2 linked regions of the Cricetulus griseus genome follow. The protein of the gene in region 1 purifies or fractionates together with the protein of each later gene. This does not show direct contact. Links are inferred from orthologs where the notes say so. Each region holds a gene or a part of one and is shown in the gene's direction. Other genes may lie near its edges. The genes, in order: Tead4 and Vgll4.

Region 1 (3,811 bases):
CTTTTAGAAAGGCAGAGGGAATGGGGAGGAGGGCGGGGCGTGCCAGAGCCATGTTTGTCACGCTCAGGCCGGCTAGAGTCCCTTCACAAGAACCTGCACTGTGACCTCTAAGGACACCCCTGAAAACAATCGTATGCTTCCATTTCTCCGGCAGGCAGACCTCAATACCAACATTGACGATGAAAGCAACGCCTTCTATGGGGTCTCCAGCCAGTACGAGAGCCTGGAGAACATGATCATTACCTGTTCTACCAAGGTCTGCTCCTTTGGCAAGCAAGTGGTGGAGAAAGTTGAGGTAGGAGGCCATCCAGTGGGTGTAGACAAAGGGCATGGTCTGTGTGCCCCCTTTCCCTGGAGCTCTCTTGGGGGCAGGATTGCTGAGGGGGGCCCCATGTGGCTTCCACATACCTTCAGGAAGTGTGTGTTTTAGGTTGGGTATGAGGCATCTAATAAATTACTGATTTAATTGTCTGTCCCACACCTCCGATCCCTGACTAATTTTTTGGTCAGGATTCCTTTCACACCTTCCTTGCAAGCATCCCGCAACTTCTAGAGCAGGGCCAAAGCAGGGGCTAGCCCAAGGGTTTCTCCCTAATCCATCTGTGTCTTTGACAGCTGGTCCTGGGGATAGGCATGGCCTTTCTCAGTTGCACAGCTCTCTAGATGCATAGGCCGTGAGAACGGATGTTCAGGATCTGTTCCCCTCTCACTTTTTACTCCACGAATGCTGCAAGCTTGTGGAGTCCCTGTTTCTCCAGGTGTTTGAGTTTTTCTAAGAGCCTGGTGTATGTTCGGCAAGTATTCTGCCATTGAGCTATACAGCCCTTTATCCCCACCTCACCCCTTTTGAGACAGTCTTTCGAGTCCCCTTGCCAGGCATCCCAGTATCACACAGCTTTTTGGTTTTTGGAGTGCCTTGGAGACCTTACACTTGGGCAGAGTTCTCTGCCTCACTCCCATTCACCCTGTCAAAGGCAGGCAGGCTGGTAATGAGCTCTCAAGCTAAGGACTTGGGTTTCATCCCTGTACACCTCCCCCGACCCCCACTTCCTCTTGGGGTTGTGTTAACACTCCTGACTGATCTCTAAGGAAGTATCAGGTTGCCTTCACCACCCATTGGTCCCAATGACTGTGACCTTCTGATCTTACTGTGTGATGAGAATGACAAAATGGCCTTAAATGTCACAGTGTCCGTGTGGTCCTAAAGACTGTGACACTGCGGTGCTTAACACTACATGCTGTCAGGCTGGTCACCTCTTGGCCTACGTGGGTCTGAATTGATGGTGTCCTCTCTACCTGAGGTTGACAGAAACTCATGTCCAACAGTTAGGTGCCAGGCAGCACCTGGGAATCTCGACCTTCGCTTCATGGGTCCCAACCCTAGCTGTTCCATTGCCAGGAAGCTTTTGATACACGTTAGCTCCACTGAGCCCCACTCATGTAACTTCTCTTAATCTTGGGAGTGTAATGTGTGTGTGTGGTCTTTTGTTCTATTTGGTGCTATAGATGGACTCCAGGGCTCAGAATTGCTGTCCTATCCCAGCAAAGGCAGTTTTTTACAAAGCTCCTACAGTTATTTACTTGCATTAAACTTATCAAGGTTTTGAGGTGCTCATGTGTCTATCCAGCCATCATCCTATGTGCTGTCTATCCAGCTCCTTGGTAGCATCCACTACCAAGCTTCACGCGTAAGGCAGTTCCACCACACGGATGCGGGTTCCCTCCCTCAGCTCAGCCTCACTTGCCACACCTGCCCCATCTCATGGCCGCTCCTTCCGGGTCTTTACATGTCCTTCTCCTGGAAGTGACCGAGCGGAAAGGTCTGCTTTCATGTCTAGAAACCTCAGAGGATAGCGCTGGTCCTGGATCATCTTCTGCCTCTGTGTCCCATTGGCTGTGTTGGATTTTTGTACATCCCTGCTAAATTGGGCTTGGGCAAGAGGTGAAGGGATGCTAAGCCTCTGCTGTCCCTGGGGTTCTACAGACAGAGTATGCGCGCTATGAGAACGGTCGCTACCTGTACCGTATCCACCGGTCCCCGCTCTGTGAGTACATGGTCAACTTCATCCACAAGCTGAAGCACTTACCGGAGAAATACATGATGAACAGTGTGCTGGAGAACTTCACCATCCTGCAGGTGTGACCGGGGGCCGCATGCCCAGGGGGTCTGTGCGGAGGTGGTGGGTGGCACCCTTGGCTTCCCAGTCCAGGGCTCTGACCGTCACCTCTGTCTCACTTGCAGGTGGTCACCAATCGAGACACACAGGAGACCTTGCTGTGCATTGCCTACGTCTTCGAAGTGTCAGCCAGCGAACATGGGGCTCAGCACCACATCTACCGGCTTGTGAAAGAATGAGAGACTTGGAGAACGATGGTGGGGGGACAGATCCAGGAAATGGGGACCTGGGAGGGAACCTTCAGGGCCAGCCCCCCAGAAGTGCCAAGAGAGCCGAGCAGAGAAGCAAACTGCCTGATCTTGCAGTGCCCAACCCCCCAATAAACCCAAGGTGCCGAGTATTTTCAGAGGAGCTGGTCTGGCTGTATGAGCCCAGGAGGGCAGGGGAGAAGGGGGCACCAGGAGGTACCAGGAAGCAAGCTGGAAGCAAGCCCAGAGATGCTCTCAGATGGTCCAGGAGCCAGAACCCCAGTGGACTCAGCCAGCTGTTTATCTCCAGACGCTAAAGCTCAAGACCCAGTGGTCCCTTCTCAGCTGCTGGAACCCTACACTCTGCTGCTGGTCACACTAGTGGCCTGAGGACAGATGGCATGCAGGTCACACACCCAGAGATGCTGTGCGTGACCCGTGTACACTGTCAGCCCTGCCGTGATGATGGCTACCGCAGAAGGCCCCACCCCTGCAAACAGGGCTAGATTTAGGTGTGGCTTCAACAAAGTTGTTGGCTGGAGACTGAGTTACTCAGGTGGCCCTGCAGTGGCCCTGCAGGGGGCTATGACTCCAGATTGAGGCAAGGCTTCGAAGTAGGGAGTCCTGATTCAAGTCCTTGGCTTCTCTGTTCGTCCACTTTTCTCTCCGCTCAGCACTGGTGAGGAGAGGATGTCTATGAAGTGCCTAGGCCATGCCGGGTGGTGGTGGCGCACACCTCTAATCCCAGCACTTGGGAGGCAGAGGCAGGCGAATCTCTGTGAGGTCAAGGACAGCCAGGGCTACACAGAGAAACCTTGTCTCAAAAAACAAAACAATAGTGACTGGGTACCATGCCAGTTCAATGATCTCTCCCTCAGCCCCAGCCCCTTGCTTCCCTCCCTCTGGAGGGCCTGGGTCTGGCTCTCTGCTGCTTTCTCAAGGCTTCCCCAGTTGGAGCCAGTTTCTAGTAACCTGGAGCCTCAGGAAGAAAGATCCAACCTGGGCATGTTTGTGTGTGTGCCCAGAACTCAGGGATGTATCTGTGGGGGTGCAGAAATGGGCAGGGTAGCATTGAGGGGATGTTACAGAGGTGAGGGACGAAGGGCTCTGGAAATCAGTCTAGCCTGACTTTGATGTGCAACCTCTGGGGTGTTAACGTTATGGTGCCTCAGTTTCCCATCTGCAAAATGGGTATAGCATCCACCTACCTCGTGTCTATACAGTGCCTCATGTAGCAATGAGCACATCCACATGTTCAATAAATATGCATCGGTACTCACCGTGGGAGCTTCAGTTCCCGCTGAGGAGCCCAGATTGAAGCCCACTGTGGTGGGGTGATCCTACAGCAGCTGGCCTTCAGATAGGAGCGATCCAGGGGTCTCAGGGAAGAGGTAGCCCTCCAAGGGACAAGTTCTGAGAGGAGGATGGCTAATGTTTAGTGATGTT
Region 2 (3,811 bases), about 12 Mb from region 1:
CTGCCCGTATGTTCCAATGTGCCTTTGATGTGACTGCTCATGACACGGCCGTGTCTTTCTCCTTCCCTGTTCATGCACATTTGTGCATGCAGTGCTAGCGACGGTCCGGGGCCTTGTGTGCCCTAGGGCAGTGCTTAGCCTTCAGCCCTTTCCTTCCTCTTAATTTTTTCCTTAAAATAAATATATGCTGATACTCATGAAACCCTTGGCCAAAAGAAATTTTGCTTATTTTTTAATCGGGGGACAATGTTTAAGGAGTGCTTCTGCTTCTGCCGCGAGTGGAAGTAGCAATTATATAGATTGCATTTGCATGTGGCTGGAGTTTTTCTTTAGGAATAGTGAGTGCTAGGGATGGAACTCGGGGTCTCATGTGTCCTATGCAGGTGCTCTGCCTCCAGCCCCTGCTGAAATCATTCAAACCCTCCTCTGCCACATAGAAGAGTATAGCAATTGAGCTGTTAAATATAAGCATTGCACAGCTTCTCCTGGGTGTGGGAGAGTGGACCAAAAGATGAGCAAAAAGGACCAGTCCGGTCACTATTGAGGATTGTTGCCCTTTAGCTTCAAGTTATGGAGGTGTTGGTCTGATAAGCAGAAGACATGCTTCCTGTCTGCAGCTCACCTGAGCAAACCATTCAATTCACTTCACCCTGGTCAAGTGTTACCTCATCTACCCTCATTTGCAGGGGACTCTGCAGTTCCTTCAGGGTCCTTAGTCCCCACTTCGTTCCTGGAAAATCCTCTGGCTGCCTCTGAAGCTCATTCCTGTGTGAACTTCAAATGGATCAAACACACCATCCTTTAAAGGCTGTCACAGCCTCGAGGCATGGAGCCAGTGCTTTCTCCCCCACTGGGTGACTGGCCTCTCTGTGGGTGACTTCCCAAGTGATGGGGCCTCTCGGTAGCTTCTGTCCTGAGGCCCTATAGCTGCTGTCCTGAATGACTGCTCCTTTTTTGGACCCCTTGGAACTTGTTGCTGTGGTGATTGTTTCCATAGCGATGTCTGTTGCCCCAGCAGGCAGCTGATGAAATGGCTCCTGAAACTCTGGGGTCTGGGCTGAGCCTGTGTCCTCCCCACTCCTTGGCCCCTGCCAGGGGTGTTGGGAAACACTGGGCACAGAGTGTGGACAGTGTAGGCTGTTTTATGTAGGTTGATTTGAAGGGGTAGTAATACTTCCTGGGGTCCCATGGGGTTCTTCGTCTGCTCACCAGAGTCTTAAAGGGACAGCTCTGCTCTATAAAGGAAGAAACAGGGCTGGGGAAGGAGCAAGAGGCAAGGGGGGGGGGGAGCTTGCACCTTCTCAAGGTCTGAGGAAGGACACTGCTTAACTTTGTTTTCTGACACCAAAAGTTAGCAGAAAGGAAACTGAGGCCCACCCAAATCAGCCAGAGTCTATGAGAGTGGCAGGCATGTTCAAGAGTTCCTGTTGAGCTACTCTGTACAATATGGAAAGTTCCAGTTTGCCCTGTGGCCAGAAGCCTTACAAGAAATCCTGCCAGGGGTGTATTACAGGTCACTGTATATTTGCAAGTTTATATCTTGCTTTCTAAACTGGCAGGGTTTTTGTTTTTCCTGGTGGGTACGCAGAAGGCCTTTCCCTCCCTCCTTCCCCCTAACAAAATCGCATTTGTCGCTTGTGACGCCTGTTTGACGGCCACACATTAGTGATGATCTGAAAGGAAGTGAGTGGTCACAAAGGTGGCTTTTCTTGGGTACCACAGTGCCTCAGATGAAGTTGACTTCATGCTAGTATGACTCTTACTTGTGACCGGTGGAAATAAGGTTGGTCAGGCCCCAGAAGCCAATGTGTACTGCCCAACAGAAGGGTTTCTCTGTGTGAAAGTTAGCCTGCCCACTCAAAGTAATTATAACTCTTGTTATAAATTTTAGAAGATACAAACCCCTTAGTATTTGAAAAGCCCTGTTTGTCTTGATTCACAACCAGGCATAAATTTATCTCTCAGCTCAAAGCCCCTGACAACAGCCCAGAAAGTCAGACCTGTCAAAGAAGATCTTTGACGGAGCCCTTGTGAGTGCCTAGCTGTGAAACACATTTTGAGAGTTGCTACTTGGGACTGGAGAGGGCTCAGTGGTTAAGAGTACTTGCTGCTCTTCCAGAGGTCCTGGGTTCTGTTCCCAGCACCCATGTTGGGCAGCTCACAACTGCCTGTAACTCCAACACCAGGGGATTCAACAGCCTATTCTGGCCTCCATGGGCATTGTGTACACATACACACACACACACACACACACACACACACACACACACACTTTTAAAAAATGTAAATATAAACAGCAAAATTAGCCTGTGAACAATGGTTTCATGCACTTTCTTAAAGGTGTAAGGTTGAATTCCTGAGACTCAAAGGACCTTCCTAGTTTTAATTTCCCTTTGGGGATTGCTCACAATCAGTTTTCCCCTCTCGGCTGTTTATAGCAACTTTTCAATTTAAACTCTACCCTAAAGAGTTAGTGCTGGCAAATCTCGTTGTTGTCAAATGTCCCCTGCTTGGCAGTGGCTGTATGCCCAGACCATGTTCTGAGAATGGCAGGCTGCCTGCTGTATTGCCAAAACTTTCCACAGAGAGAAGTTTTGCAAGGGGTGGGCGGGGGGCCAGGGAGCTAGGGGACCTCGGAGACCACAATGGGGGTGCTTTTCTTGCTGGTAATAACATCCCCATTCTCTTTGTGTAGGTGAAGCTTCTCTCAGGGGAGAACCCAGAATGCAGACCCTCCCAGTGGCCTCTGCTCTCAGCAGTCACCGCACAGGCCCACCCCCCATCAGCCCTAGCAAGAGGAAATTCAGCATGGAACCCGGGGACAAGGACCTCGACTGTGAAAATGATCATGTCTCCAAGATGAGCCGTATCTTCAGCCCCCACCTGTAAGTTCTGCCCCTTTGGGCTCATGCTTGCTCTAGGCTGGGCTTTGTTTTCTTTCACCTTTCTGCCCATATTGTCATTACGCTTTCATGAGTTATTGATAAAGGACATTGTTTATAAAAGATAGGTGGTGGTCATATGCCAGGAAGGTGTCAAGCTGACTTTAGTAACTGGTCCAGAGATGAAATCTTACTTCCTTTCAACTCCTACAATTTCTCCCTCTTGGAGGCCAGCAGCCCTTAAGACCTCCTGTGGGCATGGTCTGGAAAACCTGGTTTGGTGCACTCTCCTGGACATTATTCAAATTGATAGTGTTGTCTGTCTTTACACACCCAAGAAACGATGTGAGTACCTATGAAGCCGTGCGTGCGTGCGTGCGTGCGTGCGTGCGTGCGTGTGTCCATCCAGTACTGTGGCCTAGGGAGCACTCCTTTGCACCTGTGGCTGGTCACAGCTGGAATTACCTTGGAGCCATGGTAAGAGAGCCTCTCTTGGTGTCAGGAGACTGTAATTCTGATCCTTGATTGGCATTGGCGTGCTTTAGTGTCCTCTCTGTCCCTCATCCTTCCTTCCTTCCTTCCTTCCTTCCTTCCTTCCTTCCTTCCTTCCTTCCTTCCCTCCTTCCTTCCTTCCTTTCCTGTTAAGATTTTATTTATTTTTATGTGCATTGGTATTGTGCCCGAATGTATGTCAGTATGAAGGTGTCAGATTCACTGGAACTGGAGTTTCAGACAATTGTGAGCTGCCATATGGATGCTGGGAATTGGACCTGGGTCTTCTGAAAGAGCAACCAGTGCTCTTAATTGCTGAGCCATCTCTCCAGCCCATCTCCTAAACCCATTTCAACATGAAGGGGCTTAAGCTGAAGTTCTCTGAATCTGCCGTAATCTATCTAGCCCTGGCTAAGCAGCGAATGCCATTTTGCATT

What was found.
Region 2: the proteins of Tead4 (region 1) and Vgll4 purify together in Homo sapiens (co-immunoprecipitation; 5 studies listed by BioGRID and IntAct, counting the BioPlex papers as one, with this or other methods). This does not show direct contact. The link is inferred for Cricetulus griseus from reciprocal best matches to the Homo sapiens genes TEAD4 and VGLL4.

What each region holds. Positions count from the first base shown.
Region 1 is NC_048601.1:18,180,008-18,183,818, forward strand, and holds part of Tead4 (transcriptional enhancer factor TEF-3), read left to right. Parts: intron 1-154; coding exon 155-295; intron 296-1,984; coding exon 1,985-2,137; intron 2,138-2,242; coding exon 2,243-2,356; 3' UTR 2,357-3,811. UniProt on the Homo sapiens protein: Transcription factor which plays a key role in the Hippo signaling pathway, a pathway involved in organ size control and tumor suppression by restricting proliferation and promoting apoptosis.
Region 2 is NC_048601.1:29,949,964-29,953,774, forward strand, and holds part of Vgll4 (transcription cofactor vestigial-like protein 4), read left to right. Parts: intron 1-2,690; exon of another isoform or gene 2,691-2,695; coding exon 2,696-2,885; intron 2,886-3,811. UniProt on the Homo sapiens protein: May act as a specific coactivator for the mammalian TEFs.